Linked DNA regions of Rhinolophus ferrumequinum. The protein of the gene in region 1 purifies or fractionates together with the protein of each later gene. This does not show direct contact. Links are inferred from orthologs where the notes say so. Each region holds a gene or a part of one and is shown on either strand. Other genes may lie near its edges. The genes, in order: FBXO22 and KDM4B.

What was found.
Region 2: the proteins of FBXO22 (region 1) and KDM4B purify together in Homo sapiens (affinity purification with western blotting; 3 studies listed by BioGRID, with this or other methods). This does not show direct contact. The link is inferred for Rhinolophus ferrumequinum from reciprocal best matches to the Homo sapiens genes FBXO22 and KDM4B.

Annotation. Positions count from the first base shown.
Region 1 is NC_046311.1:438,152-454,258, reverse strand, and holds the start of FBXO22 (F-box only protein 22), read left to right. Parts: upstream 1-9,111; 5' UTR 9,112-9,193; coding exon 9,194-9,330; intron 9,331-9,600; coding exon 9,601-9,739; intron 9,740-14,323; coding exon 14,324-14,411; intron 14,412-15,182; coding exon 15,183-15,278; intron 15,279-16,107. Other genes in the region: UBE2Q2 (ubiquitin-conjugating enzyme E2 Q2), read left to right, coding at 3,094-3,160, 5,845-5,876. UniProt on the Homo sapiens protein: Substrate-recognition component of the SCF (SKP1-CUL1-F-box protein)-type E3 ubiquitin ligase complex that is implicated in the control of various cellular processes such as cell cycle control, transcriptional regulation, DNA damage repair, and apoptosis.
Region 2 is NC_046301.1:58,882,663-58,899,236, reverse strand, and holds the start of KDM4B (lysine-specific demethylase 4B), read left to right. Parts: upstream 1-10,123; coding exon 10,124-10,264; intron 10,265-15,846; coding exon 15,847-16,022; intron 16,023-16,574. UniProt on the Homo sapiens protein: Histone demethylase that specifically demethylates 'Lys-9' of histone H3, thereby playing a role in histone code. Does not demethylate histone H3 'Lys-4', H3 'Lys-27', H3 'Lys-36' nor H4 'Lys-20'.

The DNA.
Region 1 (16,107 bases):
TTTTCGAATGGATTATTATGATGAAACCTTAGTCTTCCATTTTTTTCTTATTAAGAAATATTTGTCAATTAAGAATGTGGAAAGTTTGCTTGACGTAATATGAGTTTTACCTTCCAGGATTCTAAACTCATCAGGGAATAGTCTGAATGTTAACTACTATCAAAAAAGAGAGGTGCTAAGTGGTATTTAAAAATATACTACCATTTGTGTGTATGAAAGAGATAGTGAGAGGATATATTACACAGATGTTTTTGTAAGTAGAGAATATCTCTGGGTGTTCACACAAGTGCTGACAACTATTGTTTCTGATAAGCGGATACTGAAATATTGAGGGGTGCAATTAGAGGTGGGAGGGAGACTTTGCTTACTGTAAATTGCTTGTGCTTTTTGAATTTCTTTTTGCCATGTAAGTATTACTGCAAAAATATTTAAAATATTTTAAAGGATAGTATAAGCTATTGATTGAAAATGAATATTTGTCGCCTGAAAATATTACTAAATGATAGAAATGTATGTAATTCTGGAAAACAGGAGAAGTCGCCCGCCGGCACCTGTGCAAGTTGGAGGGAGGGTCCCATTGCTGGAGCCAAGCCCTGCGGCTCCGTGCAGGCAGGGTCCCTGCACAGTCTCAGCCTTTAGTTCCCTAGGCTCAGCTGGCAGAAGCTCAGAGCAGGCCACGGGCAGGGGGTGTTGACCAGGCTGGTTTTCTGTTCAGTTCACATGGCACACAGCCTGTGACGTTAACTCTGGGCTGGAGTCGTGAGAATGTAAAGTGGAGGTTTGCGGTTAGGCCTTTTAGCAGGAATTGGAGGGTCAGCCAGGCAAAGCAGTGCCCCTGAGAAGCCTCCCTTCACTGTATGCAGGGAACGAACGGTAGGTGAGTGACATAGTCAAGTCCTGGACACAAGCCCTCGGGCAGGTGCCTAACCCATTTCTATTATCAGGAAAGGCACTGGGCTTCCCTGCGGCCCACAGGCCTCCAGCTACTGACCTACAGACTCCCTCAGTCAGTGACCACGTGCAGATGAGAGACCCGGCTTTTGTTTTGCTTCAGGCAGCGGGGGAGTCGCTATCTGTACTAAGCAGTCCAGTCTTCTCTCTAAACGAGCGAGGCTGGGAAACCAAATCTGAGCTTCTCCAGGGTCATGGGGCTAAAGTGGCCTCATGTCAGTTGTGCCCACAGTTCTCGTCAGAACCACATGTCAGTACTCTTTAGAGGAAAGCATTTCTGATTTAAGTCTGCAGGATTCCCAAAGGTTAAGAGCAAGCCAACAGGGAGTTAGAGTGAAAGGTCACAAGCACAGAGGCAACCCATCACCCATGGGTGGGCAGAAACTCCAAGTGAGACACGTGCTCCCGAAGACTGGTGGGCCAGGCATTATCAGATGCAGAATAGATACTTGATATTAGAATTGTTATATTAAATAACAGAATATTAGAATCTAACATAGAAAAAACAAGAATCATAAAATTGAGCAAACAGTAAGACCATCAAGAATGATGAAACAGATTTGAAAAACAATGGCAGAGAATTTGCAGAAATGAAAAATATAATTGTTGAAATGAGTAACTCGATGGATTAGACATCAGAAGAGAGGATTAATTGATTAGAAGAAACAACTCAGAGACATGAGGACAGACAACATGACAGAAGTTAGGTGGTGGATATCAGAGCAAGGTCTAAAATATGTCTCGTTGGAATTTCAGGAGATAGTAAAATTTCAGGAGGCAATAGAAAGTGAGAGAAATAGAAATCAGAATGTAAGGTGGTAGAAGCAAGTCCAGATAATCAGTCAGAACAAATGGAAATGTGATGTAGCTGTTGTGTCAAACAAAACAGATTTTCAAACAGAAAGCATCAGTGCTACTTAATGGTAAAAGTCTCAGCCAGGAGGGAATAATAATTTTTCACTTTATGTAGCTATTAAAGTAGCCTGAAAATACAGATTAAAAACTGATTAAACTACAAGTAGACACTGACAAATTCACTATTATAGCGGGAGACTTTAATGTGCCCTGGTTGTGGTAAGTTAAGCGGACATGTCAAATACGTAGATTTGAATGACCAATAATTAGATACTGCCATCCTTCCCAAGTAAAAATGGAAAAAAATGTCATCATAAATTAATCCATGCAGCAGGGAAGAATATTAAAAAATGATTGGTACCATACAGATCATGTATTGTAAGTATGAAGCAATTAAGGTTAGAAGACAATGAAAAGGTGAATAAAAATCTACATGGATCTGGAAATTAAACCACTTCTAAATCATGGTTTAGAAAATGTCATATGAAAATTTCAGAATGCTTGGAATTGACCCTCCCCCACTGCCTCCCTCCCTCTTTCTCCCTGCTCTCCAAATGGTTACAGGATAAGCAAGAAAGAGTTTTCACTTAGAATGTGTTTATACATTTTTTATACTTGTGTGAATTTATTGAAAAACATTCTATGACATAATATATGTGTACGCCTCTATAAAGAATGCTTATGATATGTTCTTTGGAAGTTAGGATGTAGGTCAGTTGTCTGGAGGGGACCAAAGAAATCCTAACTGGGCTCCTTAAAAGAGGCTCTAAAAGAGGTCACCAAAAGAGGCCTCCTTTAGTCATGGCTTGGGACCACTTACGGGCATTCTTTAGACTTTTAATTCAAAGTGTCATTTACATGTATAGTCCTCAAAGCTTAACATTTTCTTCTGTGACGGTAATATTCTGTAGTTTGTTCTTTTGGACACAAGTTAAGAGGAAGAGAGTGCGTTCTACTTGGGTCCCAGGAGCCCCCTGTAACTGGATTCATCTGTGGGAGGGACACCGGTCCTGTAAGCCCTGGTATTTGTCCAGTGGTAGGACTATCAGAATGAACCGTGAGGCTTGTAGCTTGTTACTGGAGTACAGTTTTGGTTTTGTTAGCCTTCTAAAATGGTAGAGAATAATGAAATTGAGAAATGAGGGTATTCAGTTAAAATTCTTTTTGAAATGGAAATATAATTGTTTCCTGTGTTCTTTTAAGCACAGTGGTGACACATCCATAAATTTCTTGTCATGATTTTCATCTACTTAGAGTTTTGATTTAAAATGTATAATTCTCTTTCAGAATCAATATAATCTAGCAAGAGCCCAACAATCTTATAATTCCATTGTACAGATACACGAGAAAAATGGTATGTTTAATTCAATATGTATTTATTGCTATTTTTGAAGTTTGACGTAATGTGCTGTTGATATTTATCTTGTTTTATTTTTGTTTTTGCTTTAATTTCTTATAAAGTACAGTTACTACAGTGAAAAAATGTAACTTGAGGCTACACACACTGTGCTTCATGCGAAATGGTGTCGGTAACTGAGTCAGAATCCAGACTTGACTCCATTAAAGAATGGGTCACTTTATTCACTTGAAATATATAGTATCAGGAAAGGAACTGAGTTAAAGGCAACTCTACAAGTGGAGCTCTTATTGTTACGACAGAGTAAATGCAATCAGGACCAGAACCAGCTGTCTCTGAGCCTCTTCGGACTACTTAATGTTTTTCCAATCTTACACATATATCTACTCCGGTAAAAAAGTTCTAATTTCAGTATCCACTTACGAGTATTCATTTGAGTTGCAAATTTTAAAAAATCTTAACACATCTTGCACAAACTTTATTGGCGTTACTTAAATTTTGCTTGTATTCACAATGCACATTTTGAGTGTGTCTAATAGTGAGGTAATAAAACAAGTAGTCTTGGAATTAGAAGACTTATTTTCAGTGCCATTTGTGTCACTCACTAGTTCTGTGGCCCTGAGCAAGTGATTACCTCTCAGCCTCAGTTTACTCATCTGTCATACGACGGCCTGACATCTATCTTGTCAAATTTGTGAGGAAAAAAGGAGTAGTGTGTTCACACTTTGTAACTGAGTGCTGCTGTAAGATATCAGCTGTAGCTGTAACGTGGGAGCGACATTGACTGTTGGTGTGCAGAGCAAATAATAGAAATAGAAAGTCGTTTTCTTTAGGGGAGTATTTACTCGTATAGTAAACTGTTCTTTGCTAGAAATGTGGTGACTTAAGATTTCTGTTTTGTGCTCATTTTTATTTTAATGACCAAACAAACGTCACTTCTTCAGTGATTGCTTGTTTCTGAAGTAGCACAGGCATACCTCAGAGATATTCCAGGTTTGGTTCCAGACCATCACAATAAAGCGAGTATCCCAACACACTGAGTCGTAATTTTTTTGCTGGTGAGGTTCTTGCCTTCACTTTGTAAAAAACACAACATCTCAAGCTCAATAAAATGAGGTGTGCCTGTATTCCAAGCAGTGTTCGAGCTTCTGAAGAGGGAAATGGTAAGACAAGAACAAGGCCGGGTTTTTCTAAACCTGTTTCCCCAAAAATAAGACCTAGTTGGACCACCAGCTCTACTGCATCTTTTGGAGCAAAAATTCGTAAGACCTAATTTTTGCTCCAAAAGACACATTAGAGCTGATGGTCCAGCTGGGTCTTATTTTCGGGGAAACATGGAATCATCATCTCCAGCACCCTAACTGAGTAGACCCGGAACTGCCTGTGTACTTCAGAACCATGTGGCTGCCCCACAAACTATGGGATAGTCACACTGTTCCCATGGCAATGTCATACCAGACAACTTAATCTCATTTGCTTAGAGCTTAGTTTTTTGTAGAATCTGGAAGCAATCGTATTTTTTCTTATTTCTTATTTATTTTTTGAAACAGACATTGTAGTCAGCATTCAGAAATGTTTATGGGAAGTATTGTATTTGAGAAAGTGGGTGTGTGCAAGCTTCGAGTGCTAGGTTTGAGTCACGTCATGGATTCTCTATCTGGTCTCAGGCATCACCTGCTGAGCTGGCCTCCTCACCGGTACAGTGACATCACTGCAGTGATGACAAGCCAAGTTCTACGACTTTGTTTGGGGGAGAGTTATTTCCTGGGAGGTTTACTTTTAAATACAGAATCCAAATGGAATCTAAAACCTAGCTTATAATCTAGTGTTCTGTACTATCACATTAGCTAGACATGCCATTAACATGGAGATCTTATGTTGACAACTCAAGGACAATTTATTCATAGAAAATAACTTTGCACAGTCAGTCCCAACTTCGGGTGGTTTCACTTAGGATTTTCCAACCTTACGATGGTGCAGAAGCGATACTCATGCCATAGAAACCTTATGTGGAATTTGAATTTCAATCTTCCTGGGCAAGCCATATGCGGTGTGGTACTCTGGTGGTGCTGGGCGGTGGCAGCGCTGCTCCTCCCAGCAGGCTGTGATCGTGAGGGTCAACAACGGCACAGGGCAGTGTGCTCCTGCATTAGGGGACTGGGCCCAAGTGTGGGCTGCGGCAGTGTGATGGGGCACGTGACCCCATCATAAGCCGAGGAGCATCTACTGTGAACACATCAAAATGCTTTGTGACCAACCCAGGTGTGAGCTTAATTTTTATACTAGGTTTAAGCATTATGAGTAGAGAAAGTAGCTAACTTAATGAAATGCCATTTCTCCTAGTTGGTTTAAGAATTAAAGTATTTTGCGGGGTCTGGGTGAAAACGGTGAAGGGGTTAAGAAGTACAAATTGGTAGTTATGAAGTAGTCGTGGGGATGTAGAGTACTGCATAGGGAATATGGTCAATAATATTGTAGTAACTATGTGTGCTGCCAGGTGGGTACTAGACCTATCATGGGATCACTGTGTGAGTTATGTAAATGTCTAATCACTGCGTTGTACATCTCAAACTAATATAATATCGAATGTCAACTGTAATTGAAAAATACAAAATTTAAAAAGTTAATACTAAAACAAAAAAAAGTATTTTAACGTGTTTTTTTTTTCCATTCTGTTTCAGGCTGGTACACCCCTCCAAAGGAAGATGGCTAAATGTGTTGACTGTCATATGCTTGGACCAATGTTGCTTTAAAGAAAATCTTTCCAACATGCAGACACAAGCTTTGAGTGCCCCTGTAACAGCAGTACCGAAGACGTTAGCTAATAGATATTTTAGTGGATAATCTGTCAACTGACATCCTGTATAAGTTATAGCCTTTTCATTTTGCTCTTTTTAGATATCCTGGACTGAGCAGTGGGGCCTTTACTGTATTTTTCCTGATAAATATACATACTGGCCACTCCTTATCATCTCTTTTTCTTGAAATCTGTTAGGCAGGCAGGTCAGCATCAGGTGACCAAAGGTGCGACTTGAGGATAACTTTCCCATTCTGAGCTTGTGCGTTACGAGAACTCACAGTATATTGTTCATTTTAGAGCCAATAAAAGTTTAATCGATGTTTAATATTGGTTTAGAAAATGTAAGGTCTTCTGAATCGCGGTAGCTTTTTCAGGTTGAAACCATTTTATGATATTGCCAAAATACTGACAGGACACCTACTCAATAAATTGTTAAACTTTTTCACGCCATGTGAAGATGTGAGCTGTTCCCCGAAGACGTGCTCTTATTTGAGTTGTGTTGTGCTTTTTAGGCAAAGTGAAGCAAGGCTGGGCCGAGCAAGCAGGAAAGGCTTGTGAGTAGTGACTCCACTGGGGCATCAATCGTGCTTGGCTGAATCTGCTGCTTACCAGTTCAGTGTTTCTTTTGAAGAAGAGACTAAGTCATTTCCATTTTATTAACGGGATGTTGCAATTATCTATACCTAATAAACTTACAAAGTGACTGGCACAAAGACAGACTCCTTGAGCAAAAGCTGCACAGTTAAGTATAAAAAGATCCCTAATTGGGGAGACTTTTAAAATGTTTGTTATAGTCACAATAATGGCTTTTACTGAAAGACTAATGGGAACTCTATACACGTTAACTCTTTTATAAAACCTGACTCAGATCAGTGTAGTCTCCATTTTATTGCCTTACCTGAATGAGTCCTGTTTGATTGGTAATAGATTTTTTATATACCCATGTTTGATTTAAAAGTAACTTCTAGTTGTTAAGCACTTTTAAAATGAAATCCAGAAGCACATTTTTCTGCACAAACTAGTTACAAAATTCAAAAGTGTTTCTTATGCATTTGCTTGAAGATTCCAATTTTAACTTTGTAAACCACATGGGAGAGGCTCTGCACTTCTGCATTGTGTGGTTAAGAGGACAGTAGAAAAAGATTTTCTGGCCTTTTCTTGTTCACATCTCTATATAGTTCTGATTGCCAGCTGCTCAGATAACAAGTGACAAGGCAGAATTCTTTAAAGCATTACAGTTCCTTAGACCTAAGGCTAAATCTTGAATCCATTATTGAATTCTTTAATATCCTGATGGCTAGCAGAGTGACATTTGGCATGCTTTGTTTTTTGGATTTTATTTTTCATTGCAGATTTATTTGGCAATGTACAGTAAATTTTGTAAACTTGCATCAAGTTTATGAATAAAGAATCATTTAAAAATTAACTGTCATTTTCCCTCATAAGAAATACTCTTTGCTCCAGGTGTCTGTAGGTTCTATTGAATTTCTGGAATAGGATTGTATATGGTGCGATGGGGTGAGGCAGAGAGGGAGACTGGTTTAACAAGGGAAAGCTAGAGACCCCAAGAATGGTGTGTACAGGTGTGGCATACTCAGGTTTTCCTCAACTTTTTCCCTCCCCTACACTCATTCTTTAATATAAATTCTTCATAGCTGTCCCAAGGTCCCCAGTTAGAATAATCTGCTCCCTCTTTGTGTGCCCATAGCCTCCTCCTAACACACCGTCGTCAGGTTATCCCACCTTCAAGAAGTCTGGAGGTAGGAAGGAATACTCTAGGCACAGAGCATCTGGGCTCTGCCCTGCTTCTCGGAGATTTTTCTGTGTTGATTTCATCTTTGGATTAAATGTTATGTCTGGACCTGCAGTCATGTTTCTCCGTCCAGAGGTAGATAATGGGCCTGTCTTCTAGTGTCTCCTTCTGTGAGGAAATCTTCAGAAGCCCCCACCCCACCCCCTGCACACTCCCCTCACTTTTCCTTGGCTAGAACTGGGGCCTGTGTCTACCCCTAAATTAATGGCTAGTGAAAAGAATGAAACCATCATTAGTTTGGACCAGTGGTTCTCAACATATAATTTGGGGAACCCTGGAGACCCCTGACACCCTATTAGGAGGTTTTTAAGGTCGAAAGTATTTTCCTAATGCTAAAACATTATTTGCAATGTTCATTCTCATTCTCAAGTGTACAGTCGTGTTTTCCAGGAGCTACATGACGTGCTATTGCAGCAGACTGAATTCAGAAGCCGATCCTGCTGCCTCCATTAAGCCAGAAATTAGAGGTTAGCAAAATGTAAAGACATCACTATTCACTGTTGGGAGAGAGAGGGTTAGTTTTTTCCTCCAGAAAAACGTTATTTTGGTAATGTGTAATGGATTTATTACTTTCAGGGGTGTCCAAACTTTTCTCAACGTTTTTTACCAAGGGCCATATGCAGTAAAATACACAAAGAGCCGGGCCACTCACTCTGGGTGAAATACGTATTGCCTCACCTTGTTTATTTAAGTAAACTAAATACATTTTTGGAATTTGCTGTGGGCCAATTAACAATGCTTTAAGTAATATTAAAATGTTTAAAATTTTAATATGGTAAATATTAAGAGACGTAACCCACGGACACAAGCTCTCTGGGGTTGTCAGTGTGGAGTCTTGAGGCTATAATGTCAGACATCATCAAGTCAGGGCTCCGTTAGCGAGGAAGCAGCAGGAGGAACGGAGGTTGGGTTACGGCCGTGTGTGCTCTGCTGACCTCCCTTCCACGCACGGTTGTCAGCCCGAGCTTGCGTGGGAGTCAGGGAGCGTTAACAGTCAGCCTGCTGGGCCGCCCGGATCTCATTCAGCAGGTGCCCAAACGCGGGGACAGGAGGTCACAGTCGGACGTGAGCGCGGCGGCGAGGAGCGCCGATTTCCACATCTTAGGTCGTTTTTTAACTGGGCTCATATTAACAGGCGTTGGGACTGACGACTAAAAACTGTCCCCTAGTCCTGCCTTCAGGAACTCGTGACTTACAGCAGGCGGCGCCGCCGGGGCGGAGCAAGACCCGAGGAGGCGGCTCCGCTGTCACTGCGGGGGGCCGACAAGCTTCCGGGAGGGCTGCGTCCGGGAGGATCTGCGCCGGAAGCCTGGTGCCGGAAGTGGCGCGCGCGCCTGCGCAATGCGCGCCGGTCGGGCGCTCGGGCACTTCTAACCCCTGTGAGCCGCGGTTCTGCTGCGGGGGCCCGCGGGGAGGAATGGAGCTGGCGGGCGGCGGCGGCGACCGCGGCTCCTCCGCAGACCCCCGGAGCGCCTTCGTGCTGAGTAACCTGGCGGAGGTGGTGGAGCGTGTACTCTCCTTCCTGCCCGCCAAGGCGCTGCTGCGAGTGGCCGGGTGAGGAGAGCAGGCGGGGGCGGTGGCTGCCTGGTGGGCCAACGGGCGGGCGGGCGGGCGGAGCCGGCGGGACCCGGGGCTTGCGCCTGCCCGGCGGGTACGTCCCGGTCTGCAGGTACCCCGCCGTGGTGTGTGCGCCCGGGGCTCTTCCCAGAGGATGCGGCTCCAGGTCCCGGAATTTGATCCCGCAAGGTGTGTGGGGTGGGGGGGGGTCTGAGCCGGGAGAGGGACAGACGCTCGCTTAACAGCCCTTTGTGGTCGCGCCCCCAGCGTGAGCCGCCTGTGGCGGGAGAGCGTGCGCAGAGTGCTGCGGGCCCAGCGGAGGGTGGCCTGGATCTCGGCGGGCTCGGCGGACGCCGGCCACCTGCAGGAGCACTGCTTGGTCCGAGTGGCAGCCCAGGAGCTTGAGGCAAGTGGGAAGCGGTGCGGTGCACAGGCCTTTGGGGTTGGTGGGTCAGTCTTTGAGAGCTAAATCTTTTTCTAATCCCAATTTTGCACATGGGTTTATTTTTTTATAATTTAGACAAATGTTTCTCGTGACATTAAAGATTTTGTAAATGTCAGGTTTTATGAGTGTATATTGTAAGGATGTGCGATTGTTTTATTTGACCGTTCTTCAAATGTTCGGCACTTTATGTATCCAGATTTTCACTATTATGATAATGCTATGCAGACTCCGCCCTTCACCTGTTTCCCTTAAAGCAAGTATTGCCAATCAAGTATTGTTGGAGGGAAGGCAGCTGGGTCTTTCGGTCTTAGTGTTGCATAGATAAGCCAAGAATATACACTGGGTATAAACCCAAATATTTCAACCCCAGATTCTGTACTCTTGTGTTGTACCACTGGGCCCCAATTTCAAAAGACGAGCAATACCTGGGCAGGTAAATACTTGAACTGTGTAGTCACAGGAGGCCACCTGTTGAGCACAGCTGATGGTGAGGTTGTGGCATCTCACTTGGTAGTGGGAAGGGGGAGCCATTTGAGAGTACCCTGCTAGCCTGATGCTCTGTCACTCCTGTGTCCTTTCGTATGCATTACGTACAAACAAGAACATTGCAGAACCACAGTACAACCATCAAAGTCAGGAAATCATCATTGATACGTTTCTGCCATCTAATCCTCAGATTCCATTCACATTTTACCAGTTGTCCCCGGGTACTTTTGTCTTTCAAAGCAGGATTGGCTTCGAATTTTATGTTGCTTTTATTGGTCTTGTTTCTACATGCCAATTACTTTGTAGAACATCTGATGTTTCTTAAATTTGGATTATGTGTCTTTGGCAGGAATATCCCAAGCGAAGCTATGCTCTTCACATTGCTTCCTATGAGATGTCATATGATTTCCGTTTGTCCCATCACTGGTGATATTATCTTTGATTATTTGATTAAGGTAGTGTCAGCCAGATGTTGCTACTGTAAAATTACTCTTTCACTCACTGTCCTAAGTATTTGGTGGGGAGATACTTTGGAACTATGTAAATATCCTGTTTCAATTCATTCGTTTATTTATTTACATAGACTTTTAGTCTCTTGTTTTAGCCAATGGAATATCATGTTATTATCAGTATTTATTTGAGTCCCCAAATTGTCCCCAAGTTAGCTAGCAGGAGCCCCTTCAGCTGGTTTTCAGTGTCTTTTGAACGGAGTGTTCAAAGACTCCGTTGTCTTTGAGCACTTCCATGACACAAGATATTCTAAGCTCATCTTGTGGTTTGCGTGCCTCAGTCCTGGAACTAGTCCTTACTCCAAGGAGCCCTGGTTCCTTTCATGGAGGATAATATTTGGAGGCCAAGATCTGGACAAGTCGTTGCTATTGATCAGTTTGTGTCTCCAAGGCCAGTCGGTGGGCAGAGCCACTTGTGTATATATGTAATATACGCAAGCATGTGTGTGTGTCCATCTATCTCTATATGTAGACACATTTATAGCTGTGCATACGTGTATATGCAGAGGGTGCCAAAAAAATGTATACACATTTTAAGAAAGGAAAAACTATTAAAATTGTAATAATATATACCGATAACAAAAGCTGAATGCAAGTCACGTTTGACTTCTGCAAGAAGTACTCAAAGTGGTTACCATCAGCGTAATTTTAATAGTTTTTTCCTTTCCTAAAATGTGTCTACATTTTTTTTGGCACCCTCTATATATACATATACACACATATATACATACACACACGCACACACACAATACACATACACATATGCATACATACACAATATGCATACACATGCATACATGTATACACATACATATACATACATGCACATATACATATATACACACAGGTGTGTATATATACATATATATGGGAATTCATGGGTTCACACAGGTACATACAATTCTAATCCTACACAGGATTCTCTCCGGTTTTCTCTCAGCTCATATTTGTCTTGCCCTTTTGGACAATGAGAAACCTGGCTTTCATCATTCTTAATGTATTTGGTATAAGATGAATATTCTATAAGTAACCAATCTTCTGTTTCCCCCTTCCTTGTGTAGATTTTCTTACTCTGTTTGGGCTCTGAGACTTAGATCCAAAGTGGCCAGTGTCCAAAGACAGACTTGCAGAAAACTTTCTTCTTGGCACTTTGGCCCAAGTCCTGCCAAATCTGTTTCCAGAAGTTTGTCATATGGAAAAATTCAGAATGCAAGCAAAGACTTTTCCTTAAAGATGTTCCTTGGAGCATCATTTATAATAAGGGAAGCTGAAAACAACCTCATGTGTATCTAATAAATGAAGTTATTAAATGATAAACTGCAAGGCACATTATGATGAGAAAATGTTGATGTTATAAGTGAAAAAAGTAGATTATGAAATTATTTGTTTAATCATCTGAATTATTAAAAACAAAAAAGGAAAAATAGAAAACAAAAAAGCCAAAATGTTACCAAAAGTTTGTTTTGGGAGTAGAATTTTTTTAAAAATGTTTTTAATTTTTTTCCTTCAAATTTTTACCACAGCAAGTATTATTTTTATATAGCTTTAAGGGCTTATATCTTGTAATAGCTAGGCAGATTTAGTCATGAACCCAGCTTTGGCACATGAACCACATGAACCCAGTTGTGCGGCTTTGAGAAAGGTACCTAACCTCTCTGAGCTTCAGAAAGTAATAACTCCCTTTATACCCTTATAGAGTTGTTGTAAGGATTAGATCATGGAAACCCAATGTATCTAACACATTCTCTACAGTACTGGGAATACAGTGTTTTCATTCATTGAAATTATTATTCTCTATTACTAACATCATTATTAAAATTAATATAGGAATACCCTTAAAGGAGTTTATACATTGTGGTAAATTCTAGTGTGGTGAGACGGAAACATGGAAACCTTGTCCAAATCATACATGCTGTTTTCTTTGTGTTTGCCAAATTATCTTTGGACATATAGCCATAAAGAAAGTTGATATAACTGTATTAAAAATATTTTAAAGTTCACTCAAAACGTTATAATACATCTTGCCATTTGGAACTTCTCTGAATACTGGAACTAGGTTCTAGTTGTCTTACATTGTGCTTTGAGAACATTTCATGATGAGGATTTTCATTTTCAGTGCTTGTAGTGAGAACGAGGAAGGAAATTTCAGCAATTGCTTTTTAATGGGTACCAGGAAAGAGAATCAGAAAACCTGAGGCCTAGACTTCCAGTGTTTAAGACGAGGAAACCTAAGGCCGAAGCACTTTGAAGGGTTATTCTGCTGGTTTATGGCAGAGTCAGCACTAACACCTGAATCTTTTAAATTGTCTCTCCTTACCCACTATTACACTGGGCGTCATGAACTCAGGTGGCTGCAGAGTGGGGCAGGTAGCTCAGGTGGCTCAGTGTAACACCGCAGGCAGTGGGCGGGCTATGGCAGTCCACAGCGCTTGCCGGTTAGCCCTGCTCAAGGGGAATGCAGTCTAAGTGTTGCCAGCACATCTAGTTTTTCAGATGAATCTGCAAATCCACATTTTACGTAACTTATGGATTTTTAAATGTTGGCAACAAAATGACGTTCTTTGAAAATGCCTTATGGACCAAGGAAACTGTACCCTTAGGTCTTATCCAGCCCTTAGGCTACCGCTGGGTCATCATTTTGTCTCAGTCTCTTTTATGAGTTTGTCTATATGGAATCTCGTCTGAAACATCTTAATGTTCCCCCAAATTACAGTGGATCAGTGTTTTTTCCCCATTTAATCGACATTGAGTCTTTGCTATATGCTAACTGCTTCATCCCCTTCTAATAGTAAACATCTTTGAGAATAACCATCTTAGAAGGAAAAACACATTCACCCTTCTCATTTAATTCAGCCACTTTGTCACCTGTCTGTAATGTCAAGTTTAATGGAAAACCTGATTCTGAATAAGCGCAGCTCATAAGTGGAGATGACTGAAATATAAGGCTGTTGCATATGAGATCCAAGGCGCTGAGGGAGCTGAGGAAAAAGTTGTGTAGCGGAGGTGGCACTTCCGCTGCCTCTTGGGAAAAACATTCTTAAATCAAGAAGAAAGGACGAGAGCTGCAGGAGAATATATGAATAAGGGTATGTGTCCGGGGAATAGTAAGCAGAAGATCCCTCTAGGAATCTAGCTGGTAGGTGGGAACAAAGGCCTGGAATGTTTCATTTGCTAGGCAGTGAAATGAGTGTGCAGTCTGTCTGCCTCCCCTCTGGTGCTGGGCTCTTTCTGTTACCTGCCTGGTCAAATAAAGTTGTGATTTTTGCTGGTATTCATGTTTTTGTTTAAGACCTTAAATTATTATGAAAATGAACTTATTGAGTGAGGCTGGAATGAGTTTCACTTGAAGAAACAAAAGATATTCAGCAAGTGAAAGACCTGAAAATGGAAGAGCCCGAGTGAAGAATGAATGAGAAGTGAATGGGCTTAGCTCAGGCACTGGCCGGAAGGAGGGAGGGCGACAGCAGGTTGGGCCAGGGTGAAACGTGCAGGGGCCACGAAAGCAATCATGGATCCTGCGATCTAATTCAGATGGATTTCTTCTTTGCAGAATGTGCACATCTTACCACAGACAGTTCTTTACATGGCTGATTCGGAAACTTTCATGAGCCTGGAAGAGTGTCGTGGCCACAAGAGAGGTGAATAGCGAAAGAAAACGTTTGGGTTTTTTTTTGTTTACTTGTGTACCTTCTGTTTGGAGTTAAGTGTGTCCTAGTCCTGAGACTGACTTTCCAAAGCCTCGGCCCACCCCTTTGGAACGCATGACTGGATGGTCTTTGAATCTGGAAGTGCAAGTGAAACAAATTCTTTAGAAATGTATTCTTCTCATTTTGAAATACTTGAATCTTCCAGGCACTTCTTTTGATTACTAAAACAGGATGTGTATCTTTGGCTGTTCTAGCCTTTTACTGTGTTGGATGATGGCGACCCATTTACCAAAGTCATGTATAGCTATTGTGCGTTCTCAGCTTGCTGAGGGAAGCAGCAGCCGTGGGGTCCCCAGTGGCCACGCTGAGACCCAGACGCAGACAACGGATTGCCGTTGTCGTCTTTGAATCCAGTGACTGTTTATGCAGAGTCATGTGCTTTATGGTCAGCTGAACTGAAGGTTACAAGAGCAAGTCTAAAATTTAGCTGCTACCACTGTGTGATGACATTGGAGCAAAAGCTGACTGTGAACAAAACGGAAAGGCAGAATGGTGACACTAAAGGTCTGATTTAGAATTTAAATGAAAACGGGCGCAGAACGGGAACGCATTTGTTCTCATCCAAGTTCTTAGACTTCCTTATGAAGCATTCTGGTGTAAAATGACTTAAGCTTGATTCCGTATTTGCCTTTTCTCATCCACACCATCAGATTTGACCTTCAGCAGATGACATTTAATTCTTCTGTTACTCTGTTATTATAGCAAGGAAGAGGACGACCATGGAGACAGCCTTTGCCCTCGAGAAGCTATTCCCGAAACGGTGCCAAGTCCTGGGAGTCGTGACCCCAGGGATCGTAGGTGAGAGGAAATGCCAACTTGGTGACTTCCTGCCAGCATCACTGTGGGATCCTGTTATGGTGAATTACTTGTAGCTTGAACGCACATTTATATTCCTGGCCACAGTGCAGTGAGGTCGGTCATGCTAAGCGTGGTATTAGATTTGACTTCCACTACTGTGGCTTGGATTATTGTGTGTGGCTGATATTCCCGTCTCAGGGCTGTCTGCATAAGCTTTCTGCATAAGGTACTGCCAAGCTTCCCAGGAGCCGTTCGTAAGAGGACAGAGAGCGTGCTCTGCCTCTCTCCAGATCAGCACTAGTGAGTGTTCTCCCTTCATCCCTCAGCCAGCATTGTGTCTGGGGGTCGGGGTGAAGGGCTGTGGTTGGGAGCTGGGGGCAGCCCTGCTAGGAAACTTTTCTCTGCTTGGCTCCCACTGTTCAGGGCTGACAATAAGCAGGGCCCTTCCCACGTTTGCTGCCTTGAACTTTTGCTGGTTTTCCTTATTTATTTCTTTTCTATAGCTAGTGGGGGACGGACGCTGTATTGAGGTGTCACGGTGCGGTGGTTCAGACACTTGGCTTGGAATCCAGCTGTACCACTAAGTACCTGCATGGCTGTGCCAGTCGCCTCGTGTCACGGGGCTTCAGCCTCACCTATGATGTGGGGTGGGGTGGCAGTGCCTTCCTGGGAGGGCTGTGACAAGGTCACACATGGCAGCCCTCAGAGCAGATGCAGTAGGTGACTGTTTGCAGTGCTCCTCCATGACTGACATTCTTAACACTCAGGTGGCACTTTTGATCAGGTGTTAAGAGTCTTGTACAGTGAAGTAGAGGAGACTGGGTATTTC
Region 2 (16,574 bases), on another chromosome or scaffold:
CACCGTCATTGTGTATCGTGTTGCCCGATGTCGTTGCTTTGGCCGTCAGGCGCCCCTTTGGTTTGGCTGCTGTGTTCTGCGGCGACGACTTCTTCCTCCTGGCCCCACGAGATGTTCAGGCTCCCTGCCTCAGCCCTGGAGCTGACCTTCTCCAAAGAGCCTGGATCCTTATGTCGGGGAACGATACTGAAAAACGTGATCTGGCCACTGGCTGTGCTCACTGCTGGGTGTGTCATGGTTTTTCGGGCCTATCAGTCGACACAGCTTAGAGATGTGACCCCCACCTGTGTATCTGTGCCTGTCGGTATTTATCTGTGTCCATCTATCTGTGCAGATAGTTTTCAAAACCCACGAGTTCATACTGATGGGATTCTAGAGTGTTCAAGTCAGTGGGTCCTTCTGAGGCTTTGGGTGGCCGCCCCACCCTGTGAGGGGCAGGTTTCAGTGGGTGGCAGGAGATACCTGGCCCCTTTTGGGGGCTGCTTGGGGCTTGTGGCCTGGGAGCAATAGGCAGAGTCAGGAGCTGAGCCCTCCGGGGTCAGGTAACCGAGCGTACAGGTGAGGGCTCCCTTCCTCTCTGGCCCAGAGGACGCCCGGTCATCTCTCCACCTCTCGGACCCTGGGCCCAGGTCCCGGGAAAAAGTGGGCAATGTGGTCTGCTGTGGGCCCAGCCATCCAGACCCTCCCCAAGGGTCAGCTCTGGGTGGCTGAGAGCTCATAGGACCAGGGGGCCCAGGTACCCCTCCCTGGGATGGGGTGGCCACCCTGTGGGGTCCCAGAAATGTCACCAGTCAGTAGCAGTTCGTGGAGCCTCAGTGTTTAGGTACAGTTGGCCCGTTCCCTGGTTCCTGCTGCTTTTCCTTTCTGGCCCCACTTGCCTGCCCTTTGCAGAGGGGTGAGGAATAAGCCGCTGTGCCAGCTGCTTCCATCAGCGTCGTGGACTTGGGGCGGGCAGGTTGGAACAACATCATCTAATAGATAGTGCCTTTTTAAGGAGAAATGGTCAGACTGCGCCTTTTAGGGGAGTCTATGTCTGGTACCTTGGGTTGCCACTGCAGGCTCTTACCTGGCTGCAACCGGACTCCCTCTCGAGTTCTATTCTTAGCGCCCCAGATTTCCTGGGACCCATAGTGAGGTCAGCGGCTGGGCAGCGGGAAGCATCAGACCCAGCCTGCTTGGGGCTTTTCATTTTATTTTCCATTTTAAAAATTACTTTGACTTTATTTTTAAAACAGTTTAGATTTACAGAGAAATTGAACAGGTAGAGTTCTCATATACTCCCCACCCTAGTTTCCTTATTAGGAACGTGTTACGTTAGCTGGTATATTTGTAAATTAATAAACCAATGGCACAGTCCTACTAACTGAAGTCCATGCTACATTCACATTTCCTCTGTTTCTCTGAATGTCCTTTCTCTGCCCCAGGACCTGATCCAGGAGCCCACATGACATTTAATTGTCACATCTTAGGCTTCCCTGGGCTGTGACAGTTTCTCAGACTTCCCTTGTTTTTGGTGACTGACAATTTCCAGGAGGACTGGTCAGGGATTTTGTAGAAGGTCCCTAAATTGGGTTATGTTTGGTCTGTTTCTCAGGTTAGATGGGGGTGATGGGTTTTGGGAGGGAGACCCTGAGGTGAGGGTCCCTCCTCATCCCATCACATCCAGGATCGTGCTGCCACATGACCTACCACTGTTGACGTTGACCTTGAACCCCTGGCTGAGTGTGTGGCCAGGTTTCTCCACTGTAGAGTCCATTTCCCCTTTCAGAAGGGGGTCACTGTGCAGCCCGCACGTGGGGGGCCTCTGATCCCTCAGCCTGGGCTGCCTGATGGCCAGTGGGTGTGTGGCTGGGTCTGAGGCCAGGCCTCTGCGTCCCAGAGCCTGCAGGGTGGCTGCTGGCCAGCCAGGGGATCCTTCAGCCCCAGAAGAAGTCGTAGAGGTGGGCTAGCCTGGAACTTCGCCCTTTGTAGACATGGGTCGCGGTGGACAGGCCTCACCCTGGCTTGTGGCCTGAGAACTGGGCCTTGACCTCGGCCCCAGAGCTTCCAGCCTCCGGGCTTGGGCGTTCGTGCTTTTGGCCCTCCAAGCATGAGGGCAGAAGGACCCATGGTCTTGGTGGCCCAGCAGCCAGGGGCAGCAGCAGGTTGGGGTCTGTCCAGTTGAGAACCACAGGCCCTGGTGGTTGCTCTGCCTTTCAGACGATGTGCTGGTGGGGGCGGCCCGTGTCCAACGGGAGACGTGTGCTAGAGACAGTTCCAGGTGCCGAGGGAGACGTGATCGCATCGAGATAAGGCCGAGAGAGGGGACTGGCAGCACAGCAGCCAGGCTTGTGTGCTCAGCACACGTGAAACGGTGCCTCGCCTCCTCTCTCACCAGGAAAACGCACATTGAAGCTACAGCGTTAGTCTCCCTTTGCTGCCCGAACAGGTGACTACAGACTTAGTGACTTAAGCAACACACCTGTATTACCTGACAGTTGTGGAGGCCGGAAGTCTGGCATGGTCTCGTGGAGGCTAAGATCAGGGCTGGTTCCTTCTGGAGGCTCCCGGGCAGAGGCCATTGTCTGTCATTTCCAGCTTCTAGAGCATCCTGCGTCCTTGCCTTTTGGCCCCTTCCTCCATCTTCACAGCACTTCATTCTGACCTCTGCTTCTGTCATCACGTCGCCTCCGACTCTGACCCTCCCACCTCCCCCTTATAAGGACCCTTGTGATGACAGAGCCCACCTGCTAATCCAGGATAATCTTCCCATCTCAAAATCCTTCACTTAATCCCATCTGCAAAGTCCCTTTTGCCCTAGAAGTGAGCGTAGCCACAGGTGCTGGGGTTCGGACACGGTCACCCTGGGCGGCCACTCTTCTGCCAGCCACGCCGTAATCAGATCCTCCGACTTGAGCTCAGGCTGATGTCAGGTGCTGGCAGGGCTGTGGGGCAGGGCAGCCTTCAGCCGCGCAGGTGGGAGAGGCCGAGGAGGCCTGGGAAGAGCCCGCAATGGTCCCCGAGTCTGGAGTCCCGGGGAAGCTGCGTGCAACCTGAGGTCACGAATTCCACAGCTTGGTGTGGCCTTTCACCCGGGGGTTGTGACCTGTTCAAAGACAGCGAAATCAATTTAATGGGTCATGCCTGGTACTTTTAAAAACCAGATTAAAATAAGATTAAAAATGTCATGTACATTGCCCGTTGTGAGGGTGTTTATGAAATCTGTTCTATTTAAAACTTGGTGAATTAGAGAAGATGTGTGGGATTGAGTTCAGCAAAGCTGGGGCCTGAGGGGTGAGCTGCCCTGCCCAGGGCATCGGGCCCACTGGGGACTCTCAGATCACGGACAACACAAGCAAAGGCCCAAAAGCAGGGAGCACCTGGTAGACCCTGTGCCATCGGGGTTCACGTGTCACAGGAGCTGTGGGGAGATGTGGGCGGGAGAGCTGGTGAGTCAGGGTGGCTATAGCCTCGATTGTCAGAGGTCCTGGGGCCACACGCAGGTGTTGTCCTGCATCCATTGAGCAAGTTCTGGAGTGTCCCTGCCCAGCTGTAAATCCGCGGTTGGGACCCTGCCCTCGCGGGGTCTGCACAGCCCCTGCCGGCTCTCCTTGTGCCCTCTGCCTTTTTGGGGTGCAGAAGTCACTGTGTGGCATTCATTGTCCATGCAACTTTCCTTTTTCAGGGGGCACACTCCCCAGCTGTGGGGTTCACAGGAGGCAGAACTTGTAAACCTCACAGAATTTACCTGGACCTTAAGGTTTCCAGACGCTTCTTTGGTTCAGTTTGTTCGCGGAGCTCTCGCTTCCTCAGGGACTGATTTTTCGGAGCTGTGCTTAAAACGGGCAGTGCTTGGAAGACTGAATGGGGAAAGTGCTTCTAGTTATGGATTTTTGTGTCCCATGAAGTGGCAAGGATTTGGAAGTGTTTGAATAAAGGCAAGTGTCCCTGGGCTACGTGCTGCTGTATGTAGGAGTATAATGTGGAATTGAGATTTAAGCATGTGATCCATTTAGTTAATCATGCTTTTGCTTGTGCAATTTAGGAACCATCACCGTTGCCAGAACCTGACAGAAACCTGAGTCACTTATTGGAGCATCTGTCATCACAGCCTCAGCCATCCAGGACATACCAGGAACTTCCAAGTAAGTGTAAGACCAAGGCACGGAAGGACGCAGCTTCTTGCCAGGGCAGCTGTCAGTCCTGCACGCTGTGGGGAGAAGGCGGCCCCATTTGGTTCTGAGTTCCTGGGGTGTCCAGGGTCTGCTCACCCTTAGACAGAGGAGCCTGGAGCCCTCTGGGGGTGACTTTTCTGGATGTGTCTTCTCTATCCCACATACTCCACGTTTGCACGCTCACCCGTCAGCATTTGAACGCCTGCCCCTCACTTCTAGAAGCCCTGTGTCGCCCAGGACAGGCTGCCCAGTCTGGGACCTATGGATCAGGCAGGATGCCACTGCTGGGCTCCCTGAGGGCCGTAGTCACCCCAGCCCGTGGCCTGCAGGAGATGGTTACTAGTCACAGCTGGGCGTGGGGTGGGGGGTGTTTTAAAAAATAGAAGATTTTTTTAAAATGCATTTAAGAGCATTCCATTGCCCAGCTACTTCTGGGTTTAAACTCCAGGCTGTTTACCTTCTCCTGTACTTTTCTAATAAACCAGGAACAGAGGACAGGGGTTAAAGTGGTAGGTAGCCTCTGATGGTGGCCCAAGGTGGTCATTGGTAAGAAGAGAGGGAACCAGCGAGTCACCTCCCGGCTCCCGCACACAGGGCAAGCGTGATGGGGTAGAGAACACACAGCCCCATGTGTTCCGTGCCGTCCCAAGGTGGCTGCCCCGGTGGCCTGAGAACGGCTGGCTCATGTTCAGGGTTGCCCTCGGACGAAGGCTTCATGACTAATTAGGGCCAGGTGTCGACTAATATGTGGCCTTTTCATGTGAATCAAAAACCCCAAACTGCTTTTTAGAAATATTCTCCCTTAATCGCGTCTCTTGGCTGCTGTAGCGTGACCATCAACGTGGTGACTTCAAACGACCCACATTTATTCTCGGACAGTTCTGGGGGTCAGAAGTCTGGAGTGAGTGTTTCGGGCTAAGGTCAAGGTGTTGAGAGGGCCACTCCTTCTGGGGACGTTAGGGAGACTCGATCTCCTTGATATTTTCCAGCTCCAAGGGGCTGCCTGCTTTCCTTGGCTTAGGGCTTTTTCCGCAAACCACTCCAGCTGCTGCCTCTGCCACTCTGTTGTCTCGTCTCCTTTTCTGACTCTGACCCTCTTGCCTCCCGTCATAAGGACCCTATCACGACATTGGGCGCCCAGGTAATCCAGGGTCATCCTCATGATGAGCTCCTTGACTTCATCCCATTTGCAAAGTCCCTTTTGCCATGGAAGGGAGCATAGCCCCAATCCTAGGATTGGGCCATGGACATCTTGGTGGGGGGTGTGGGGGAGGCATTATTCTGCCGATCATAGTCTCGTCCAAACTGCCAAACGGTTTCCGTAACCGCTGCACCGTCTTACGTCCCCACCTGCAGAGTCTCAGGGCTCCGATTTCTCCACCTCCTCGGCAACACTTGGTATTGTCTGTCTGTCTTATTCTAGCCAGGGGTGTGGGGTGGTGCGTGGTCTCTCACTGTGGTTTTGATTTGCATTTCCTTGCTGGCTCACTGTAACCCCTTTTCACGGGCTTATTGACCTTTTGTGTACAAGGTCAGACAATTAAGTTCGCGAACTTGCCACCTTGCGCTCACATTGGCAACACTGTACAAACATCTCTGTCAGGTTTCATAACCTTGGTGTATCAGTGTGTCACAGCTGTGTTCGTGTGGACGTGTGGCGGCGTCTTGCTGAGTGGTGCTCATTATTGTTTTTGTGTGCCATCGCGAGAATGTCTGAGCTTGAATTAGATGAATTAGAGCAACGAACAAACATTAAATATCTTGTTAACTTGGCAAGAGTGGAAGTGAAATCAGGGACATGTTAGTCCAAGTTTATGGGGATAAGGCCATGAAGAAAACGGCAGTGCACAAATGGATTAAACGTTTTTCTGAGGGGAGAGAACGTGTCACTGATGAAGAGAGGTCAGGGTGGCCAGTAACAAGCAGAACTGACAAAAACATTGCAAAAATTTGTTGAATTGTGCGTCACAATCGTCGGCTGACTGTGAGAAGCATAGCAGACCAAGTAAACATCGATAGAGAAACAATTTGAAAAATCTTAACTGAAAATCTTGGCATGAGAAAGGTGTGTGCAAAAATGGTCCTGAAGGAGCTGAACGGTGAACAAAAGCAGAGTCGAAGTTTGCCAAGACCTTTTGGGCCATGTTATCACTGGTGACGAAACACGGGTGTACCAATACAACCGCGAAACAAAGCGTCAAAGTACACAATGGAAGTCAGCCAATTCTCCACGACCAAAAAGTTTCGTTCAGTCCAAATCAAGAGTCAGAACAATGTTGCTAACCTTTTTTGATATCAGAGGGATTATTCTCTATGAATTTGTACCAACTGGACAAACAGTTAACCAAGTTCACTATTTGGAAGTGCTGAAAAGGCTGCGTGAAAAAATTAGATGAAAACGACCTGAATTTTTCTCCAGTAATTCATGGCTCTTGCATCACGACAAGGCACCAGCTCACACAGCAATGTCTGTGAGGGAGCTTTTAGCCAGTAAACAAATAACTGTATTGGAACACCCTCCCTACTATTTGGCCCCCAGTGACTTCTTTCTTTACCTGAAGATAAAGGAAATATTGAAAGGAAGACAGTTGGATGACATTCAGGACATCAAGGGTAATATGACTACAGTTCTGATGGCCATTCCAGAAAAAGAGTTCCAAAATTGCTTTGAAGGGTGGAGTAGGTGCTGGCGTCGGTGCATAGCTTCCCAAGGGAAGTCCTTCGAAGGTGACCGTAGTGATATTCAGCAGTGAGGCATGTAGCACTTTTTCTAGGATGAGTTCGCAAACTTAATTGCCAGACCTCGTAGTCCCTTTGGAGAAATGTCTATTCAGGTCCTTTTCTCACTTTTTAACTGGGCTGTCTCTGTATTATTGAGTTGTTAGAGCCCCACTTTTTCAGCATGGTACTGTTTTGTAAAGAACACGTCGTTCTTTCTGGACTGTTCTGTGAGTTCCCTTATCGGGGGCTCTCACTCGGTCCTGTCCCTCCCCCCATGTGTCCAGTAAACCAGAAGTTTGGCCCAGGGCTGGCGTTCAGTCAGATTCCTTTTTTATTTCTTAAATATGTATATGTGTGATTTTTATTTGCCCTCCTTCAGAAATGTGTCAGGGGTTATGGAGTGTTGGGATTATAAACCAGTTTAATTTTCTTCCTTCTATTTACCTACTGCAAGGCTTCATTTCAAAAGGCACGAATAAGAGAGAGAAAGAAAAGCGTACACGACCCACCATGGAGCGGACAGTAGATGACAGGTTGGAGTTTGGCTTTCGTTGCCAGCATGCATATGCAGAATGCTCTACCTGCTGTCTCACCATCTACTTTCCCCACCTCCTAGATGGAAAACTCGTCTCTGTGTCGTGATTTTTGACACATGAAAGAGCTCGTGTGGGCAGGCCCCCCGGCTGCCCCAGCTCTGCCTGGGACAGGCTGGTCTCAGGGAAGAAGAGATGGGCGTACCCCATCGCCTCCCACCGGCGGAGCTGGGTGTTTGCATGGACTGAGGGGAGGCAGCCTCTGTGAGACGCCGTGGCCCCCTGCCCTGTAGGCCCCTCGTGAGCCAGCCTGGGAGGAGCGGCCGCCAGCTGGCCAGGGCCGAGTCACACCTGAGAGCTGTTGGGTGTGGATGGGTCCTGGCACCTGTCACTCAGCAGGGTGGGAGAGGGTGCGCGAGCCGTGGGAGACTCAGGCTGTCTCGGCAGAGCCTGGCTGGTCATCTGGCCCTGCCACGTACCTGCCGTGTGGCCTGGGTATGTGACTTCCCCTGTGGGGCCTCGTATCCTCCTCCGTGAACAATGACAAATGGACTTACTGTGTGGAGTGGATGAATTGCTAACGTGAAATGCACAGAACAGGGCTGGGGGCCTGTGCAGTGCTTGTGTGTCCACCGCTGCTGGATCCGGGTGTGGGTCGTGACAGACTGAGGAACCTGTCTGTGGATTTGTGCCTGGCCGCCAAGGCTTGGGACCAGGGGCTGAGCCTGGGGCAGTCATGTTCAGGCAGCTGGCCTCAGAGGACAGGTGTGATGGTCTGTGTGGTATGCGTGGGCGGCAGAGACCCTGAGCATCCCCAGTAGGTGGGGAAAATCTTGGGGGGTGACGAGGTGGGCATAGGCAGGAGTGGGGGGCTAGGGTGCTGGGAGCACGAGGAGCGCTCTTACCTGTTCACGCTTGTGTCTCCTCTGATGTCCCGGCCAGGGAGCCACTCCCTCCTCTGCCTGCCCTCCTGCGGTCCCCTCCACGCCATTAGCCAGCTCATGTCCACACCGATATTCACAGTCGTACAGGCGTCAGGGTCTGTCCCCTTAAGACAGACGGACACACTGTCGTGTCAGCCCCTGTGCAGTGGAGCTGGGAGCCCCGCATGGCTGTGTCTGGGCAGGAGGGAGAGCGCAAGGTGGGCTGGGAAGAGGGGAGAGGTCCCAGGTGTGGATCCAGGTCCCAGGCTATGGCTAGGACGGTGTGGTGGTCCGTGCTAAGGGTGGCTCAGGGCTCCAACGGGGGCAGCCTCCAGGAGGCTGCCGAGGCTCGGGCCCTGTGGTGCCTGCTGCTCCCGAGGGGCTGTGACAACCCCTTTTCTTACAAACCGTGTTTTCTTGGTGGATCCCTGTGAGCCGGCCCACAGTGTCACAGGCACTGGTGGCCTGCCATGTGCACCTCAGCTTTGTAGTTGCCCCTTGAGAAGCCTCAAGACTCCCTGTGGATACAGGGAAGAGGGTCCTGGTAGGTCCCAGCCTGGGTGTAGCAGTGGCCTGTGTGTGTGTCAGGATCCTCTGTGGCCCTCCAGCTGTGAGTGTGACCCTTTGTGGCGGGGTGGGGGGGACTTTAGCTGCTGTCCCCCTACCCCAGCCCCCTATGCCCCAGGCATGGGCCAGGATGCCTGCGGGCCTGGGGCCTCTAGATCCTTCCCACAGAGGTGACCATCTCAGCCGCGATTCTTGGGCTCATGCTGCCCTCTAGTGCCCGCCGCAGGGCCTGCCTTTTGGGAGCCAGTGGCTGCATGTTGGTGAATGGACCCCCCCCCCCCCTTCTGGGGCCAGTGAGCTTCCGAGCTTCCTCATTCCCTAGCTGACTTTGGGGTGCGAGGAGGTGGACTTGGTTACATTGTCTTCCAAGCTCTCGGGTCTGTGTGCACTCGGGTTCTGACCTTTTCTAAATCCTGGAGGAAGTCTGGGTTTGGGGGACCCTTCCCAGAGACCGTCACCAAGCCTCTTCCTGCTTGGGCTGGGCCACTGACCCCCACTGGGTCCCCTTAACTCTGGGGACAGGAGGGGGGTCTCTTCAACCTACAGCCTCCTTCCCAAGAATCCTCTTCGGGTGCCAGCAGTGAATTTTTGGGATGTACAGACCCAGCCCTACTCCCCCCTTCTGTGCTGAGATATCCAGGCGTGGTTGTAACCAGGACGCCTTGGAGCATCTCTGATTGAAGGAGAGGAGCCGTTCTGGCCAGGTTCCAGGCTCCCGCCCTCATTGGGCCTGGGTTTGCTGACAGTAGCCAGGCCAATCCTGGAGCGACCCATGTGCTGCTTAGAGTGGGCACTGCCCAGAGTCAGGGTCCCCTGCTCGCAGGTTCAAATCTTGAAAGATGACAGACTGACACACAATCTCACTCACCTATAACTCGCCATGCGCTGCTGTCTGGCCGGACGGACGTCCAGCTCTGAAGGACACGCATTGGTTTGAGTCCCCGATAAGAAAAGCTTTTATTTCTGAGGCCCCGACTTTAAAATCAGTGCTCTGGCCTCCAGGATCGCGCTGGCTTTTAGAACTAGGACACCTCTGGTTTTAATTAGTTGAAGCCATTTTGGTCTTTTGTGCCAGAGCAGAGTGAGGAAGTCGGCTCCCAGTTCCTTCTCCGCAGCGCGTGGCTCCCGGGAGCTGGGGGTATTTCAGCACGTTCTGAGGGAGAAGGGCACCGTGCTCATGCTCTTTGTGTTCCCTTGCAGGTGTGGCGACGTCTCAGCTGCAGCCATGGGGTCTGAGGATCACGGGGCCCAGAACCCAAGTTGTAAAATCATGACATTTCGCCCAACCATGGAAGAGTTTAAGGATTTCAACAAATACGTGGCCTACATCGAGTCCCAGGGAGCCCACCGGGCAGGCCTGGCCAAGGTGGGTGACGTGCTGGGCCCCGCGCAGCGTGTCTGGGCGTGTCCGTGACCGTTAAGTGCTCACGCAGCGCCTCCGCCCTCGTGTGTCTGTAGACAGGACACGGTTCTTTCCCTGTGCCAGGTGCTGTCCTGGGCACTGGAATTCACCAGTGACTCGCACGGCCCTTGTCCCCGTGGGAGCTGGCAAGCTGGGGCGGGAACACAGCTGTGCTAGGACACGCGCAGTGGGCAGTGGCCACCCAGGACCTCACGGTGCCAAGTCTCACCCCGCCTGGGGGAGAAAGGGGTCGAGAGTCTGGGGAGGCTTCTGGGGCATTTGATGCCGGGAAGGGCTTAGTTTTTGCATTTATATTCCCAGTGAAATCGATATTTGTTTGAGACAGTAACGCATGTGGGAGGCAAGTCCAAACAGTGTGACTGGGCGAGAGTGACAAGTGAGTCTCCTCCGCTCCCTCCATCCCTGTCTCCCAGCTCCTGTCCCCAGAAGCAACACGGATGCCATCATCTTCTGTCTCCTTCCTTGGTGTGTCACGCACATACGTGTACATACATGTGGATGTGTGCGTGCAGACAAACACACAAGCTCGCCGGGTTGCTTTTTAATGTAAATGGCTGTGATTCTTCATGTTCACGTGAACCTGTGTGTGTGGCATTACTCGCCCCAAAATTGGGAAGATTTGTAATCTGTTTGTTTGGGGCTCTTCTAGTTGCTTCCTAATGACTGTCACTAATCTGAGATTCCTAGTTGTCTATCCTTTAAATCTGGAGGTTGCGAAATCTTTTGTACAAAGAGCCAGATACTATTTTCAGCTTTGCCGGCTGGACATTCTGTGTCACCAGCGCTTAGCTCTGCCGCCTTAGACCCTTAAACCAACGGATGCAGCTGTGCGCCAATAAAACTTTATTTATGGGCCCTGAAACGTGCATTTCACAGAACTTTCACTTGTCCCAAAATACTCTGAAAATTTTTCCTCAGCCATTAAAAATGAAAACAAAACAAACCAACCTTAGCTTGAAGGCTGTACAGAGTCAGGCGGCGGGTGGGATTTAAGCCGTGGGCTGCAGCTTGCTGCCCGGCCCCTCCACCCCCCACCCCCCACCCCGCCCGTTTTGGGTTGGTTTTGTTGCTAGTATCAGTTCCTGTCCCCGTTACATTCTTGCCTTCAGTCTCAGCCTTGGGAGATAAGGAAAGCAGTATGCTGGCGGCATCGTTTTTCCTCCCCTTTTCCTCTTGATTTTTGTTCGCTGTACACATGATAATATAGACAAAGCAGAACATTTTTATCTAGTTTGGGAACCATGGCCACCACTGTCGTTTTAGCTTCAGTTCTCCCCTTAAATAGCTTTAGTGCTCACTGCCCGTGTCTCCCTTGGCTGGTTTGTCATCTCATATGAGAAGGGCTCTGGAAACCCTGCGCCTGGGGTTCTAGCAGGTTCGGAAGCATCTGAGGCTTTTCTGCTCCGCTGACCCGTTGATTGGCTGGTGTCATTGTCAGGTGACCCTTCCCTATCTCTGCGTCCACTGCAGGTCAGCAGTGGTAGGGAGATTCTGCGATCCTCAGAATCCTGGTGCCCGTGGGAGTGGGGCATGCTTTCTCCCGCTTTGTCTCCTGTCATTGACCTAGTTCCACTTTACCCGGGACTCAGCCGGCCCATCAGCTTTTGGATTCATGTCATCCTCTATGCCGGAAACTTGTAGTAAATGAATATCTCGGGCTATTTTGTCGCAAGCACCTTTAAATTCCACCCCATCGCTTCTCTGCCGTCCTTTCAACCTCGCCATTTCTATCACCCCCTTGTCTGTGTGATCCGTGCCTTTACTTTCACTCTCCCTCTTCCTTCTTCGTTTCCTTCGCTGTCTCGACAGTTCTTCTCTGAACCCTGATGTCCCTGTTTTAGGTTTTTAATTCAGGTGGACTAATTTTTTGCTAATTTATCTGGATCGAGGGGAAACGTTTGGACTGGAGGCAGCCGTTTTTTTTGTGAGGCAAATATTTTCAGGGCAGATTTTCCCTCTGCCTTTAGTTTTGCATAAAGGCAAAACTTGTTCCTTTTCTCTTTTAAGTGGTGGTTTATTTGCTGCTTTCATTCTGACTGATAGTGGCCTTTGGATGCGCAGATTCTTTCTGAAACCCGCTGGGGGGGGGCACGGGGTACTGTGTGCTTGAGGGGCGGGGGCACAGTGCGGTTGCTGACAGATCCTGGTGGTTAGCGTCACGCCGACACACACGGGCACACACTCCCCTTCTCCCATCTCTCAAGGACCGTATGTGGTGCCTCTGGTCCCTCAGTGGCCTCCCTGCCACTCTGTGGGGACAGATGGCCCAGGGAAGCAGGTGCTGTGGCCCTGGGCACCTCCCACGTCTTTTACACAGGGGCACTTGGCCCTTAGGCCTGCCAGTCTCTTTTGGAGAAAGGACACGGTGTCCTGCTGGCCTGAGCCAGCTTTGCATACACAGGTGTGTCCCTGACCCTGGCCTCCTCAGCCTTGACTACCCTTCTCTGTGTGTGTGTGTGTGCATGTGTGTGCGTGTGTGTGTGCGCGCGCGTGTGTGTGTGTGCATGTGCCGTGGTAGGAGCTTCCTCTTTCATAAACGCTGTCTTTGGTCCCCTCTGAAAAGCTGCGGGGCCCGGTGGAGCTGGGAGGGATGTGTGCTCAGCGTGCACAGGCGGAGCCAGGGCTGCCGCTGGAAGCAGCTCTGGGTGTGCCCACTCTGGAGCCATCAGGCGGCCCGTCGTCATCCTTGGCTGCTCTGTGCATGCTCTGGGGGCTGTGCCCAGTGGGTCCCGGCCCCCTGCAGACCAGGGCTGGGAACCTGCTCATGCTGCTTGGGAAGCGCTGGGGCATGAGGAGCCAGGGAGGGGCATGGAGTGGGGTGTGGGGTGATGGGGCAGTGTGGGGTCCTGTGGGAGGGGTCAGGGTGCTTTGGTGCTTGAGTGCATCCCTGAGGACAGTCCTGCAGCCTGCTCTCAGCTGCCAGACCTGCCCCCTGCAAAAGGGCTTTGGAAGCAGGCAGTTTGGGGGGCCAAAAGCTTGCCCCTCACTCCTGCCCTCTTGCAGGGTCCCCCACACCTTCTGCCCCAGCTGCCCAGACTCCCTGGCTTTGCCACATGACTCACACCCAGACCACCTGCCTGGTGTCTCCTTATTCACCTGGGGTATGTGGCCTTTCTGTTCCTTTTGACCTTGGCTGAACTTGCGTTCCAGCTTTGAGCAGGGGTCAGTCGCAGGCTGTACAGGGCCCTTGAGGCACCAAGTGGAGACAGTCAGTGTGCTCCAAGGTCTTAAGTGATGACCTTCAGATGTCCTTTGTGTGGACAGCCTCCATTCAGATCTGATTTCCCAGAGCTGTGAGGGTGGTAGGCTACAATATGTGGCTAAGGGATTTTTCCAGAAGCTTTGGGTTCCAGACCAGCTGGAAGTAGCCCTTCTTTCATGAAACGTTTCAGAACCTGAGTAGCATGTGTCCAGGAAAGTGTGGTTCACACGTGCAGACCAGGTATCGTGACGGTCCCTCCCTGGTTGTCAGATGTATTCACACAGCAGTGTGTTAGAGACAGCATAAATCAACAAAGTAACCTCAGGCTCTCATTGGAGGGGCATGTGATTTGGGAGTGACACGTTTTGTTCATTTGACCCGGACTGGGATTAAGGATGGACTTCCTCTAACAGAACTGAAGTGGGTTCCCCTTGGTGAACCCCGCTGGCTGGGTCTGGAGCCCATTCAGGGTGACGGCCCTTTCCTTCAGGAACAAAGTCAGGTTTTCTGTAAAGAGTGGGCATTGCACACGTAATTAAAAAGCAGCTTCAACACGAAAGAACATCTTGGGTCCTGGAGGCACAGCCCCTTTCAGTTTTGTTTTTTCCATTTCTAGCCTTGAATGTTTTAGTTTATCACTCGACTCTTCAGATTTCTCTCTTGAAATCTGACCTCAGCACCCTGTTGTCACGTGGCCTTGTATCAGACACAGGCACCCCAGACACCTATTGCATCGTGGCCGCAGCTGACACAGGGGAGCGATGTCCCCAGAACGAGCCTCCACTGAACAGTCGTGTCCTCTAGGAGGTGGCTTGTCCCAATGTGACTCCAATTTATGGTCCCAGCCTTGGCAGTGGTAACATCCAAGCAAGGTCACTCTCTGGGGGGGGCCATCCTGGGTACTGTGAGGGGTTGAGCAGCCTCCCCACCCACTCGATGCCAGGAGCACTCCCAGTCGTGACAACCACAGATGTCCCCAGATATTGCCTCGTGTCTCCTGTGGGGGCAGGATCACCCTGGGTGAGACCCACTGACTTCCTCTTACTGCTCTTGTTATTTATTTGTATTTTGTAAATATACGGCTGTGTGCTGACAAGGTAGGCAACACCTGTCTGTTGTTAACAGGCAACTGGAGAAGTGTTTTTGTTGCCAAGCAAAACATTTTCTTCCACCGATGAGATAGACGCCCTAATGGAATCCTTGGGGATGGTAAATGGATTTCAGCCCTTCTGGAAGCTGTCGGCAAACTTGGGCATCAGCGCGGTGTTCTTCCCTCATTGGCCCCAAGCAGAGTGAGGGTTCGGCCTTCCCAGAGTTCATGGCTGATGCTCTGAAAACAGGTCGGGTTAGTTCCTTTCCCTAAAGCTGTTGGGTGGCCTGTAAAGCGTCCTGGAAGGAGACTTGAGGCTCGCGCTCTCTCCCCCAGGACTGGGAGAGATTGGCCCCAGTCGGCCCCGGAGGCCTGCGCAGAAGTGGGCCCAGTGCCCAAGAGGACTGCGGCCCAGCCCCGTGGGACAGGGACGGGCTGGGACTGGGTTCCTGAGTCCACGCAAGCCCAGCACAGTGGCCGCTCAGGTTGTGCCCAGACCCTCTGCCCCTAACACCAAGCCATTCCTGTTGGCCCTTAGTGTCCCCTTGTGGAGAAGAAGGGCAGGGAAGGGAGGGGAGGGGCAGGAGAGCTGTCACCTCTTGGGAGGGTCCAGTCCTGGGGGCTGCCTGCTGGATCTGCTGCAGTGAAATTGCTGTCCTTGTCTCAGAGGTGACCTCAGGCTCCTCCACTCGGAGTCGTCACTTCCCCTCTGCTCCTGCCCAGGCATCGCACTCAGCCCTTCTTAATTTATATTCCTAGTCCTTACAACTGGTTACCTTGCCCCACTTTCCTTATCTCTTACCGCTACGTATGACCTGCCCTCTGCCATCCAAATGTAAAGCCTTCCATGTCTCCCCAGCAGGAGAGCTGTGATGATCACCCTGGATGTGTCCGTGAAGTGGGTTCCTAGAGTGTTGGGCCTGCAGTGCTCATTTTCAAAGCTAGAGGGCGCGGTGGCCCCGTGCTCTGGTGACAAAGCGAGCACGTTTGGTTTTAAAAGAATTGTAAATGCAGCATGGGAGGCGGCCACAGCTCTGCCCTGGCAGGTGGTGCCCATGTTGCTGGCACCAGATCTGCTGGGGGTTTTCTAAAGGTACAGGTGGTTCCTGGTGCCCCTGTGGGGCAAGCCCGGTGTGCTCCCCAGGGAGTGGCACTGGTCTCCAGAGGGGGAGCATGTCTGCCTGCTCGCCAGACCTTTCTGGAGGCATCACTGACTCTCCTCTCGCCGCGCAGATCATTCCTCCGAAGGAGTGGAAGCCACGGCAGACGTACGACGACATCGACGACGTGGTGATCCCCGCGCCCATCCAGCAGGTGGTGACAGGCCAGTCGGGCCTGTTCACGCAGTACAACATCCAGAAGAAGGCCATGACGGTCGGGGAGTACCGCCGCCTGGCCAACAGCGAGAAGTATGTGGGTGTAGGGCGGGCCCCCCAAAACCACCTAGGGTGGAGCCACACCTTGAAGTCCTCAGCACCCCTGAAGTGGGACCCTCGGTGGCCCCATCTGTGAAGTCCAGGCCACCAGGGGCCCTGGGGTGCAGAGATGGTGGGTACCATGCAGCCCCCAACAAAGTGCACATGGCTTGTTCTGGGTTCACTGGGTGGGTCTTGGCCCCTTCGTGCTCAGAGTCCCCCAGTTCAAAGAGGGCAAAATCCAGACCCTCACCCAGCCCAGGGCCACGCTGTCCATATCTCGCTACCCTCAAGGGTAGCTGAGGGCTGCCCCTGGGGGCTCGCTGTGTCCCCCACACCCTCCCATGATGTCTCAGTTCCAATGGTGCCTCCAAACAGAGGGGCTCTTTGGTACATCTCCCCACATGCCTCTTCCTGGTTCAACACGGCTCACACACGGGCACACTCGTGCACACGCCCATGTGCTCACAGGTGCACTCGAGGTGCATTCACAGGCGCTCGTGTACACACGGTGCAGTCATGGGCACATACCACTGTTCTCTCCTC